Linked DNA regions of Arabidopsis thaliana. The protein of the gene in region 1 interacts with the protein of each later gene in a pairwise test. Each region holds a gene or a part of one and is shown on either strand. Other genes may lie near its edges. The genes, in order: AT1G67430 and OBE1.

The links.
Region 2: the proteins of AT1G67430 (region 1) and OBE1 interact in a two-hybrid assay, tested with the Arabidopsis thaliana proteins (one large-scale study listed by BioGRID).

Annotation. Positions count from the first base shown.
Region 1 is NC_003070.9:25,259,805-25,265,707, forward strand, and holds AT1G67430 (Ribosomal protein L22p/L17e family protein), read left to right. Parts: upstream 1-2,329; 5' UTR 2,330-2,404; coding exon 2,405-2,407; intron 2,408-2,516; coding exon 2,517-2,553; intron 2,554-2,637; coding exon 2,638-2,678; intron 2,679-2,769; exon of another isoform or gene 2,770-2,902; intron 2,903-3,110; coding exon 3,111-3,341; intron 3,342-3,433; coding exon 3,434-3,536; intron 3,537-3,620; coding exon 3,621-3,688; intron 3,689-3,778; coding exon 3,779-3,823; 3' UTR 3,824-4,053; downstream 4,054-5,903. Other genes in the region: AT1G67420 (Zn-dependent exopeptidases superfamily protein), read left to right, coding at 1-241, 325-554; emb1688 (Minichromosome maintenance (MCM2/3/5) family protein), read right to left, coding at 4,101-4,296, 4,395-4,579, 4,666-4,860, 4,944-5,162, 5,241-5,903.
Region 2 is NC_003074.8:2,481,794-2,488,653, forward strand, and holds OBE1 (potyvirus VPg interacting protein (DUF1423)), read left to right. Parts: upstream 1-2,660; 5' UTR 2,661-3,192; coding exon 3,193-3,215; intron 3,216-3,300; coding exon 3,301-4,400; intron 4,401-4,472; coding exon 4,473-5,083; 3' UTR 5,084-5,333; downstream 5,334-6,860. Other genes in the region: Hsp89.1 (HEAT SHOCK PROTEIN 89.1), read left to right, coding at 1-31, 155-295, 392-484, 587-664, 792-1,046, 1,151-1,253, 1,344-1,518, 1,606-1,711 and 2 more; AT3G07790 (DGCR14-like protein), read left to right, coding at 5,698-6,860. UniProt on the Arabidopsis thaliana protein: Probable transcription factor that acts together with OBE2 for the maintenance and/or establishment of both the shoot and root meristems, probably by controlling the expression of the meristem genes such as WUS, PLT1 and PLT2 and of genes required for auxin responses.

The DNA.
Region 1 (5,903 bases):
GAACGATATAGCCAATTCCCACTCCTACAAGCGCATAAACCGCAAACAACATTTGAAAATGGAACTCGCAGAGTTCATCTGGAGCTCTCTCTGGGGTTAGTTGGACTCCATAAAGAACTTCTATTGGTCTTGTTGGTTATTAACTATTCCATTTGCAGGTCGTTGGAGGAGATTTGGGTCACGGTTTTGAACATAACCGGACCGTTATCAGGGTGGTCCTTTGCCGATGGCAAACCTCCAGGTGACACACACAGAACCTCTTTTTCGTTCTCTTAAAGCATTTACTAAAAACCGTAAAACCAAAATGACTAATCGTTGTTGCAGCACCTGAACTCCCACCGGGTGGTCCTCCCTCGTACATATTGAGACTGAGTGGCAACAGCGATGAGAAGTGGAACTTCTGGTTAGAGGCAAGTAGTGAAGAAGAAGTGAGAGTAGATGTAGCTGTTCTTGATCAACGTCTTGATGAAGAAACTATACATTTGAAGGGTCTTTTCCCAAAATGGTCCGATGTCATTGCCTACACTAGTTTTCTTTCTACTTACTTGTTCTGATCGTAGACTATTTCATATTCTCCTTTTGATATTTCTAAAACATTAGAGAATAAATAAATCCGTTCTTAACATGGGAAAGTTTTTTTTTTTTTGACATCGGAACCGCATACTCTATTTATACCTAAATCATACTAACATGAGCAAGTCTTAAGTACATTTTCTTTGTTGATATAGTAATTGTGTACATTTACTTGGTTCTTTGATAATTTATAATCTTATACTTTGATTGGTGCAACTATAGTCTTATATCCTTAATTTAACTTTATCCTTAATTTAACTTCATGATCAAAAGATATAGTCTTGTTTTTTGTTTTGTTGAGAAGTTTCATTAGCATTATTGTCTACCGAGAGTAATACCACAAATTGATAGTTTCTCTGCATTTTTAAGAGAATAAGCTAAATAACGGACCTAAATACAAGTGGTCCTTACAATTGCAATTTGCAAATGAAAAAATTTAAAAGAGTAAGCTAAACAACCGTACTGACCTAAATAACAAACACATGAAAAACCACATAAATAACAAACACATGAAAAACCAATAGAAGTGTCTGTTACAATTACAAAGTCCACGTACATGCCACGAGGTAATGAATAAGTCTAATTGCAACAAAATAAATAATATTGTTTCATATAAATAATTTTTCAAAATATTGTTTTTATTTTTTTCGTTATCTTTTGGACTCAAATATGTGACAAGAGTAAGACTCTATAAACGACAGCTATTTTATCGTGGTGCGCCATCAAATAATGTGTCCTATCATTTCTAAGTTGAGCCACGAAGGTCAACGTTTCCGATGCATACCACCAAAACTCCTCCCTCGTGGTGCACCATCAAATAATCGTCAATCCACTCGTTAATATGTGTGATGATACGCTTATCAGCGATATCAGTAGATGTTGAATCAACTCTTCAGGTTTCAATGATATCGATAGTATACTTAGCTAGTTTCTCCCCCATGAAATCGATAGAGCTTCCTCCCAAGGTATTCAAGATCTTATTGGCTTCTACATATGAAGCAATCATTACTCATGTAGCAAACTTGTTAATCTTCTATATTTTCATTACATATAATATTTTACGTACAAGTAAGTCAAATGACATGACATGACATATGATATAACTGAGTAAGTAAGAAATTACGTATAACAATTAAGTCAAATGACATAGTAACCATTCGTGATTGTTGTCTCATATTTATATATATAAAACAAAAAATGAAGTTTTAAGCAAATGATCTACAACTAAAACAACATACTCCACCAATATATACAAAATACGTACACTTTTTTTTGATAAGTAAGTAGAATTCTATTGAACCTGATGAGAGTTGAGCATAACTCTATTCTTAGACCCGAAAACTACTCACCATGTTTATTTTAGAGATTTAATGATGGATTGGACAGTTTTTAGGCCATATTACATAGTAACAACTAATTTCAACTAAAAGAATGCAAGTTGGTTAGTTTAATACAAAACAAAATAGTGAAAATTGGATCTCTAGCTCATTTTCCGATTAATTAACTTATTTTCAAAAAAATTGTGGTTATAAGAACGAATTAATCAATTGCATTTCTTATAAAAAAAAGTAATGAAGAGAGATTTTACTTACATAAAATAAATACATCTGGCCTGATGAAACAAAAATGAGTAAGGATATCAACCTTTGTAATAAGTAATTGTTAATTACCAATTCATAGTCTTGATGGGCATTATTAGAAAGCCCATTAAAAATGGACAAGGCCCATTTAAACCTAGGTTTCGCAGGGTTTATTGCTTCACTCTTATATAAAAACTCTCGTCTTCACAAATCTCACATCTCTTCTGCAGCCGATTCTTCTATTAGCCGCCATGGTAATTGCTTAATTGCTTAAGCTTCTCAAACTCCATCTCTCTTCTCGCTGATTTGACCTAGAAATCTTCTTCCCTAATTTTCTTTACCCTGTCTTTGCTGATTTCGCAGGTGAAGTACTCGCAAGAACCCGACAATCAGACCAAGTGTAAGTAAAGCTCCTTGTATCAACTTCTTAGTACCATTTCGTTGTTTTGATCTTTGTGGTAATCCTTTGGTTTTGATTTTGCAGCTTGCAAGGCTAGAGGATCCGATCTTAGGGTTCACTTCAAGGTATGTATAGCTCTGTCAATTGTCATTTTGATTATTCGATGTAGTTAGATTTATGATTAGGAGATTGTAGTTTTAGGTTAAACCTGATTGAGAAAAAGCAGAGTTCTGTTGCAATTTGACAGATCTCACGTATACTTCAGGGAAATTGAATTGGTCATCGTGATTGGGTGAATCTATGTTTATATATCTCATAACTATAAGATTCAGTACATGATGGTACATTGATTTATCATTTCACTTTTTGAGGCTTGTTTATTTTTAGGGCTTTTGGTTAATCGCTTAGTATTGCTTTGTTATTGTTCTTATGTGAACCTATGTAGAATTTTAGTGACTTGTTGTTTTGGTTAGTGATTCCACATAATTAATACTGTGTTTTTGAATTTGTTGGTTGGTTCTTATTGTGTTTTGTTTTCTTCGGATTGTGTGAAACAGAATACTAGGGAAACAGCGCACGCAATCAGGAAGCTACCATTGATCAAGGCGAAGAGGTACCTTGAGGATGTGATAGCTCACAAGCAAGCAATTCCCTTCACACGTTTCTGCAGAGGTGTTGGGAGAACTGCTCAAGCTAAGAACAGGCACTCTAATGGTCAAGGACGTTGGCCAGCCAAGTCTGCTCAGTTTGTTCTTGATTTGCTCAAGAACGCTGAGAGCAATGCTGAGGTGAGACGAGCATTCATTTAATTAAGGAAACTTTTTCTTGTTTCTCTCTGTACCCTTTTGCTAATAAGCATATTTTGACTTTGAATGTTCAGGTGAAAGGTTTGGATGTTGATGCCCTCTTCATATCACACATCCAAGTGAACCAGGCCGCAAAGCAAAGGAGAAGGACTTACCGTGCTCACGGAAGAATCAACCGTAAGTTTGAGATTTTGTAAATCACTTACATTGATAGCTTTTTGTAATCCATTGTATGACTCAGTTTGTCTTTCTTGGTTGCAGCTTACATGTCCAACCCATGCCACATTGAGTTGATTTTGTCAGAGAAGGAAGAGCCTGTCAAAAAAGAGGTAATATATATTTCATCTCATTGGAAAAATTCAGGACTAGTGTTAATAACAACAGTGTTCTCATTTCGTATTTGTTTTTGATAATTGTAGCCGGAGACTCAGTTGGCTGCCAAGTCCAAGAAATCAGCAGCTTAAGCTTTCTTTCTTTATTTTCATGTCCCTTGTGTTCTTGAACGAGATTTTGTTCTCTTTTTTCTTTAGCTCGAATCGTTTTGTAAGACAATGGATAGATTTATCTTGGAAATTTTCGTTCTATGACTTATGAAATCAGTGATCATGGTTCTGCAAGTTTTGGTTAGTTCGATAGTTCGATTAGTCAATAATTCAGACAAACAAAAGAGCTGAGAACTTAAAAAGATCTGTACAATCTTTTACATCATGTGACTTAGTTATAGTGGAAACTTGAGTTCTCTCATTGTCTTTTATTCTCATTCTCAATGGCTTGGACGATTGGGTCGTTCTCTATGTACAAATCACTGTCTTCATCTTCGAACTCATCCAGCTCACTGATCATTGTCTGTTTCGTTTTCTTCCTTGACTCTCTCCTATGCTTCTTAGGCATTAACCGTGGTTCAGCATGTTTCACACCCATGTCTCCCACCTTGTACCTGTGTCAAGTATCATTCCAAAGTAAACAACATTAGTGACTGCGACCAATCTCAATCTAAAAATAAAGCTGTTCTTTCAGGAGAAATCCCAACAATACCTAACATCATCTTCCCTTTTGGTTCCAAAAGTCCTAAGCTGAAATTCTTCCCTGATTCTGATCTCATCAAGCAATTGTAAGTAGTAAGGATACCTTTCCCAGTCACCTTTCACAACACATCCTGGTTCCCCAATATGCAAGCAGTCTCTGAATCCACATTTTTCGCTCTCAATCATGTTCCGTATCTAAAAGAAACAATTAAAAAGTAACACATCGTCACAGTCAGCCAATAAGGGAGATTGGCACAAGCAAAAGGGTACAAAGAACAAACCTCAGGAAAACAGTGAGCTAGTGAATGCTTCGTTACTTTCAGCAAACTAGGCTGGTTAAAGCCAGGAGTATCAGCGAGGTAACCACCTTCAGAAACCGGCAGTAGCGATACATTTCGTGTTGTATGTTTACCTCTACCACTTCTACTCGAAACTTCCCCTACTCGCTGATCATCAAACCACTTATTACCTAACATCTGAATATCACAAAAGCTCAACTCATAAGAATCTGGCAAACAAAACTTAAGCTGTAAAATGAAATAACACAAAAGAACCTTACAGGCTCAAACCAATTCTCATCTTCCACCACACCACCACCATGATTACTCCTCAATACGTTGATTAAACTCGACTTTCCAACACCACTAGGTCCAACAATCACAGAAGTCTGATCTCTCAGAACAAACGCAATATCATCAAGTCCATCTTTAGTTCCCACACTACAAAACAATGGTTCATAGTTCCATCCACGCAACCTTATCTTCCAAGTTTCCAATTCCTGTAAACAAGTTTATGATTCTAATCAATCCCTAAACCAACAAAGTGATCTAAAATACAATTTCTTCATCCTCCTTACCTCTTCACTAATGAGTTCAGTTTTATTCAAAGCAAGTGTTAATGGAATACGAGTAGATTCAGCTTCCACCAAGAACCTAGTAAGAGTAAACGGCTCAAGTTTCGGTTGATCCAAAGAGAAAAGAACAAGCAAATGATCAACGTTCGCAACAGGTGGATCCAAAATCTCCGAACGTCGATGAAACACATTCTCAATCATTCCTCTTCTATCAACCCAATCAATAGATCCAACAAGAACCTTATCTCCAACTAAAACTCTCCTTCGTATTTTCTTCAACACAGCTCTCACCACACAAAGCAATTCAACACCAGTCTTTGAAGAATCATTATCATCATCACTCGTCACAGAATTAGCTACATCTTGAACAATGACGCGCATAAAGTTCGCTTGAGCTGTTGCGACAGTACCAATAGCTTGAGACTCTAAGAGCGAAGGTTTATGCTCCGGCGAGAGAACTGGTGACAAGGAGGAGGAGTAATTTTTACCGATGTGCTTCGCTCTGAGCATATTTTTGCTCGGTTGGGGTTTTCTGGAGACATCGGGATTATCTCGTCTTGCTGAGAGAGGAGAAAAGCTGCGAAGGAATTTGAATCTAACTCCAACTCCGCCGTGAAAAATCGCGGTGTGACGGAGGAACGGAGAAGAGTGACGGAGGAGTGAAAT
Region 2 (6,860 bases), on another chromosome or scaffold:
CCCATTGGCTTCATCCCATTTCACGACAGAGGTATTTTCAAAGGAACACATTTATTGAATTGGATATTTCCATTAAACAGCCGAATTAGATCGTCTTTGTTAGACGATCCACTGAAATATAATGCTCTTTGATTCTCTTGTTGGCAATGCTCAGGGCGAAGTCGAGTTTAGGTCTATCCTATATGTGCCACCTGTTTCACCATCGGGGAAGGATGACATAGTCAATCAAAAGACAAAGAACATAAGGCTCTATGTTAAACGAGTTTTCATTTCAGATGACTTTGATGGGGAGCTGGTGAGAAAAGTTTCTTTTGGTGTGGTTCAAATTTCTTTCAAGAAACCTCTGTCTTTCTAATTATATTGATATCATTTTTGTGGTGTTTGTGGCCAGTTTCCTCGGTACTTGAGCTTTGTTAAAGGTGTTGTGGACTCGCATGATCTCCCACTTAATGTATCACGTGAGATTCTTCAAGAAAGTCGCATAGTAAGCGCTCATATCCAATTCGTATGCAAAGCCTTTATGATATATGTTTTGTTTTAAGTGCAATGCTATGTTAAGCTTACGATTTTGTATTGTGTCTCCAAGGTGCGGATCATGAAGAAACGTCTAGTGAGGAAGGCTTTTGATATGATTTTGGGTATATCCTTGAGTGAAAACAGAGAAGTATGTTTCATAACTCTTGTTCCCCTAAGCTTACAGTTTAACCTTTTTTAATTCCCTTTAGAAATCACTGCTACGTTCTGGTGATGATTTTCCTGACGAATGAGAATGGCATTGTTAACCTATACAGGACTATGAGAAGTTTTGGGATAATTTTGGCAAACACTTGAAATTAGGGTGCATCGAAGACCGTGAAAACCACAAGCGTATAGCTCCACTGCTTCGATTTTTCTCCTCCCAGAGTGAGAATGACATGATCAGCTTGGATGAGTATGTTGAGAACATGAAACCTGAACAGAAAGCCATATACTTCATTGCTTCTGACAGCATTACAAGTGCTAAGAATGCACCTTTCCTCGAAAAGATGCTGGAGAAAGGACTTGAAGTATGTGTTGTTCTTCTGAATGGGGCCTCGTTTTGTTCTTCCTTGCAAATATTCCTATTAACTCAGAGGTGATTGACATGTATTTCTTTGTATTGTGAACGTAGGTACTATATTTGGTAGAGCCTATTGATGAAGTTGCCGTACAGAGTTTAAAAGCTTATAAGGAGAAGGATTTTGTAGATATCAGCAAGGAAGACTTGGATCTAGGCAAGTGCCTGATGTAATTCCTTGATTTAGCATGTCAGGTAATCACTTATGTATAATAACAAATTCTGGCTTTGATCTTTGTATTGACAGGAGACAAGAACGAGGAGAAAGAGGCAGCAGTGAAAAAAGAGTTTGGACAGACTTGTGACTGGATAAAGAAACGATTGGGTGACAAGGTTGCCAGTGTTCAAATTTCCAACCGTCTTAGTTCTTCCCCCTGTGTTCTTGTATCTGGTAAATTTGGTTGGTCAGCCAATATGGAGAGGTAAGATCTGACCTTTTTCTTAAGCAAGGATTTCCGTTCTCCTTTTTTGCCCCTGGTGAACTAACACAGAATATGTTATCTGGACAGGCTAATGAAGGCACAATCAACTGGTGACACAATAAGCCTCGACTACATGAAAGGGAGAAGAGTGTTTGAGATCAATCCCGACCACTCAATTATCAAGAACATAAATGTGAAGTCACCATTCATCATAACTTGTACCTGGCTATTATAATTAAATCTAGGAGCCGCTTTTTGAGCTTGGCTTGTTTTTTTCTTGCACCCTGCAGGCTGCTTACAATAGTAACCCAAATGACGAAGATGCAATGAGAGCCATAGATCTTATGTATGACGCAGCACTAGTTTCTAGTGGGTTCACGGTGAGTCCTATTCTACATTAACATTCTTAACTTTTTGTTGTCTCTAGAATTGAAATAAAGTAAATACTGGTAAAACTTAATTGTTGTTTCTCAAAACTACAGCCCGATAATCCAGCAGAGCTGGGTGGGAAGATATATGAGATGATGGATGTAGCTCTTTCCGGGAAATGGTCAAGCCCTGAGGTGCAGCCGCAGCAACAGCAGATGGCACATTCTCACGATGCAGAGACGTTTGAAGCTGAAGTGGTTGAACCAGTCGAAGTGGATGGGAAGAAATGAACACAAGCCTAATGTTTTATGTCCCTGCTACGATTCTCATCATATTCTTCTTCTTTTATTAGTAGTAGCAGTAAAAGTAGAACCCCAAAACTCAGAACAATAGGCAATGAGCGAATGATAATCTCTATTTATGTTGGAGAGATTAATAATTGATTGAGCTTGTTTTTGTTCCAGTTTGTGTTGATCCTCCTCGGTATAATTTTAATAACCGTTAAGAAAAATTCAGTTGGGGTGTTTTTGGAAAGATTTTTCGAGTTTTATCTAACAAAACTAAAATTTTGGGACATATGGTAATTTTTAATTAAATAGAGGGATGTTGTTATCGTACGAATTGGGTTGGTTTAAAACTTTGTTTGGACAGATTCGACTCAAACGTTGAACGCGTTTAAAAAAGTCAACAAAAGTCGAAGGTTACCGGCTGGTCAGGTTAACCGTTAGAGATTAATGAACTGGCAGCTGTATGTCTTTTTTATAGTTCTGTCTTAACAGGCAAAAAAGTGTTTAATTTATCTTTCCTTTGGGTTTCTCACGGAGTCACGGTTCCTCGTTCGTCCTCTCCCGTCGTCTCTCCGGTGAGTCCTTAATTTTCCGGCGGTCTTTTTCCCTTTCTCGTCTGTTTGGTGCTTTCTTTATGTCTGAGGCGAATACAGCAAAACGTATCTGTTTTGGTTGTTGAGTTCGAGGCTGGTCCTGAAAATTCGGTGACAAAAAGAGTCAATAACTCTCGTGATCGAGTTGGATGCGTTGTTTTGAGGGTTGATTCAGTTTATGACTATGTATTTTGGTACTTGCAAGATTTTCTGATTTTATGAAGATTCGTGTTTGACTTTTATAGCGTATAATCTACGGGGCAAACAGATTCGAGCAACTTGTTTTTTTCTAGCGCTTGTTTTGTGTTTACTCTGTCATGTGTTTGTATTTTTTGAGCTTCCACTAGTGATTAATCATCTCAGCTCAATTTGAACATAGGAGATGTAGTTTTTATCTGTCGGTGGATTTCTAGGGATTTTGCAAAATGTTTTGGGCTTTCCTGAATTAGTATGTGATTTGGTCGTAAAGTATTTTAGGGATTTATGTGTTCCTTGGGGTGAATCTGACATTGACATTATCTTGGTGTCTGCAGCACTAAATTGATGGGCACATCATCTGGGTCCAATCTTCCTCACCAGATGCTACCTCCACGTCAGCAACTACAAACATCTCTTTCGCTTGTATCTTCAGATCCCCACTTGTCACGGTCTAATTCTGGCATTGTGCGTGAATCACCAGCTGAAAGTGCTAGCTCTCAAGAAACTTGGCCAACCTCAAAATCTATTATGGGAAGGAAGACAGATAGCGGAAAGACAGGGCCTGACTCTCATGATCAACATGTGATCCGCCATGTTTCCATTGCTGATAAGGTATCGCTACGGGACATAGCTAGAGAGAGACTTGACATAGTCGCTGAGAGAATGCATCGATTACCAGAAGAATATCTCGAGGAGTTAAAGAATGGTCTTAAGGCTATCCTTGAAGGAAATGGTGCGCAGCCTATAGATGAGTTTATGTTTCTGCAGAAGTTTGTCCAGACGAGATCTGATTTAACTTCAAAGACACTTGTCAGGGCTCACCGAGTGCAGCTTGAAGTTCTTGTGGTTATAAACACTGGTATCCAAGCATTCTTGCACCCAAACATCAATCTCTCTCAGTCATCACTCATCGAGATCTTTGTGTACAAGAGATGCAGAAACATAGCTTGCCAAAACGAACTCCCGGCTGATGGTTGTCCCTGTGAGATATGCGCTAATAGGAAAGGCTTCTGCAACCTGTGCATGTGTGTGATATGTAACAAGTTTGACTTTGCAGTCAACACATGCCGCTGGATTGGCTGCGACGTGTGTTCTCATTGGACTCATACGGATTGTGCTATTAGGGATGGGGAGATTTCGATGGGAGTTTCTCCCAAGAGCGTATCTGGGATGGGAGAAATGCTGTTCAAGTGTCGAGCGTGCAACCATACTTCTGAATTGCTGGGGTGGGTGAAAGATGTGTTTCAGCACTGTGCACCAAACTGGGATAGGGAATCTTTAATGAAGGAACTTGACTTCGTTAGTAGGATTTTCCGTGGAAGCGAAGATACAAGAGGCCGGAAACTCTTCTGGAAGTGTGAGGAGCTTATGGAGAAGATTAAAGGTGGACTGGCTGAAGCAACAGCGGCCAAGTTGATACTCATGTTTTTCCAAGGTAAGCCCACTCGCTATTGTTATATGATAAGGGTTTACTCTTTATAGACCTAACCATGTTTTGTGTATGAAGAAATTGAATTGGACTCTCCAAAGAGCCTTGAAAGCGGAGAAGGTGGGGGTACGATAGCACCTCAAGATGCATGCAACCGAATTGCTGAAGTTGTAAAGGAAACACTGAGGAAAATGGAGATAGTGGGTGAGGAAAAGACGAGGATGTACAAGAAAGCGCGAATGGGGCTTGAGGAATGCGAGAGAGAGGTAGAAGAGAAAGCAAAGCAAGTGGCGGAACTGCAGATGGAGAGGCAGAAGAAGAAACAACAGATAGAAGAGGTGGAGAGGATAGTGAGGCTGAAGCAAGCAGAGGCAGAGATGTTTCAGTTAAAAGCAAACGAGGCAAAAGTGGAAGCAGAGAGATTGGAAAGGATTGTGAAAGCGAAAAAGGAGAAAACAGAAGAGGAATACGCAAGTAACTATTTGAAACTGAGGCTGAGCGAGGCGGAGGCAGAGAAAGAGTATCTGTTTGAAAAGATAAAAGAGCAGGAAAGTGGTGGGAATGGTGGTGAAGCGTCACAAGCAGTGATGTACTCAAAGATCAGAGAAATGCTGCATGGATACAATGCATCGTCGCCAAGGGTAGATCCAAGATCAAACCAGCGAAATCCTTTCAGATCCAATCCTTAGATGTTTGTATTGTCTCTCTTTGTTTGTATTAAAAAAAAAATCCGAATCAATTAAGGTTGGATTTGTGTGTGAAGTATTGTGGTCTTTGTATTCAAATTTTGCACATGATCGTCTATGTTGGGCCATAATGTTATGCAAGCTTTGACACAGAGTGTTGCCAAAATCTCGATACTTATTCACTCGGATTTAGAGAATTGTGGATTTCGCTAATGGAGGGAGATCCATGTTACCTTAAATAGTTTATATTTGAGCCAACATGAGAGCCAAAGAACATCGCCACCGACTTTAAAAAGAAAATATTTTGCCCAAATGGATATTACAGAGTAGTTATTTGCAATAACGTCCTCATGTTTGGGTTATAATAACGATTTGATTTCTTACGGGGTATAAAGCAAAAGGAATCAAAACGTTTGGGGAAATAATGTAATATTCTGGAAACAAAACGCGTATAATCGGATTGATAAGGAATATTATATCATCGCCGATGCAATCATCGACCATCGTTTTGTTTTCCTGTCTACCCAAAAACAAACCCTAGTGTCCGAATTCTCGACAAAATTCATCGGCTCCAAATTCCATTCGTGCTTTTTGAATTCGCGTTCTTCTGATTCAAGATGTTTCTTTCACCTGGTCATTCTCCTCGTCAGATTTCTTCTCCATCGCCGTCTTCTTATTCCGATGATACCCTCCGATCAACGCCTCGCAGTTCTTCCTCGGAGATCATTCCTCGAAACCCTAGAAAACGGATGAGAGTTCTCGATGAGGACGCTTATGTTGAAGCAATCGAGAAGATCATCGAGCGTGATTACTTTCCAGATATAACTAAGCTTAGGGATCGGCTCGATTGGATCCAAGCGGTGAAAACCCGTGACCCGATTCAAATCCGAGATGCCCAGTTGAAGATTATCGAGAGGCGTGGAAAGAAGGCGAATCATCATGTTGGAGATACCGAGGGTAAAACTCAAACTCCTGGATCTACTTTTCTGAGAAATTTCACTCCTTTAGATGAATTTGATGGTAAAACCCCTAGAACTCCTGGAGTATCTGGTAGAGAATTTCATGGTGTTGAAGTAGATGCTGGTGATGGAGATGAAGATATAGATCTTAATTTGTCCCTAGATGAGTTCTTTAGGAGATATACTAGTGAGGATAACGAGAGCTTTTCGAAGATTCTTGAGAAGGTAAATAGGAAGAAGAAGGAGAAGTATGGCTTTCTCCTTGAAGGTGAAAAGGAGGATGGTAAATCTATTGAGGATGTGAAGAGAGATAGGATTACAGATGGGTATGGTACATCTGATCAGCCACCGAGTACTTTAGAAGGATGGAAATATACGGCGAAGAATCTTCTGATGTACCATCCAGCTGATCGGGGTGAGGCGCCTTTAACTGAGGCGGAAAGGGCAGTGAGATTACTTGGATTGACTAAGGAGATAGTTAAAGGGAACACTCGTTTTCATGGTAAGACTATGGATTCTAGGCCAAGAGAAGATGGTTCTGTTGAGATTCTCTACACTCCAATCGCAGGTTCTTCCCCGATGCATATCTCAGGTAGGGACAGAGACAAGTCTAAAAGGTATGATCTTGATGATCTAAGGAAAACACCGAATCCTTTCTATGTGGAATCAGATAAGAGGGCAGACAATGGGTATAGTTTTGTTAGAACGCCTTCTCCTGCTCCAGGTCTTGATGAATCACCCTTTATAACATGGGGTGAGATTGATGGGACACCAATGCGATTAGATCTTGAGGATACACCTATTGATATTGGTGGTAGTGC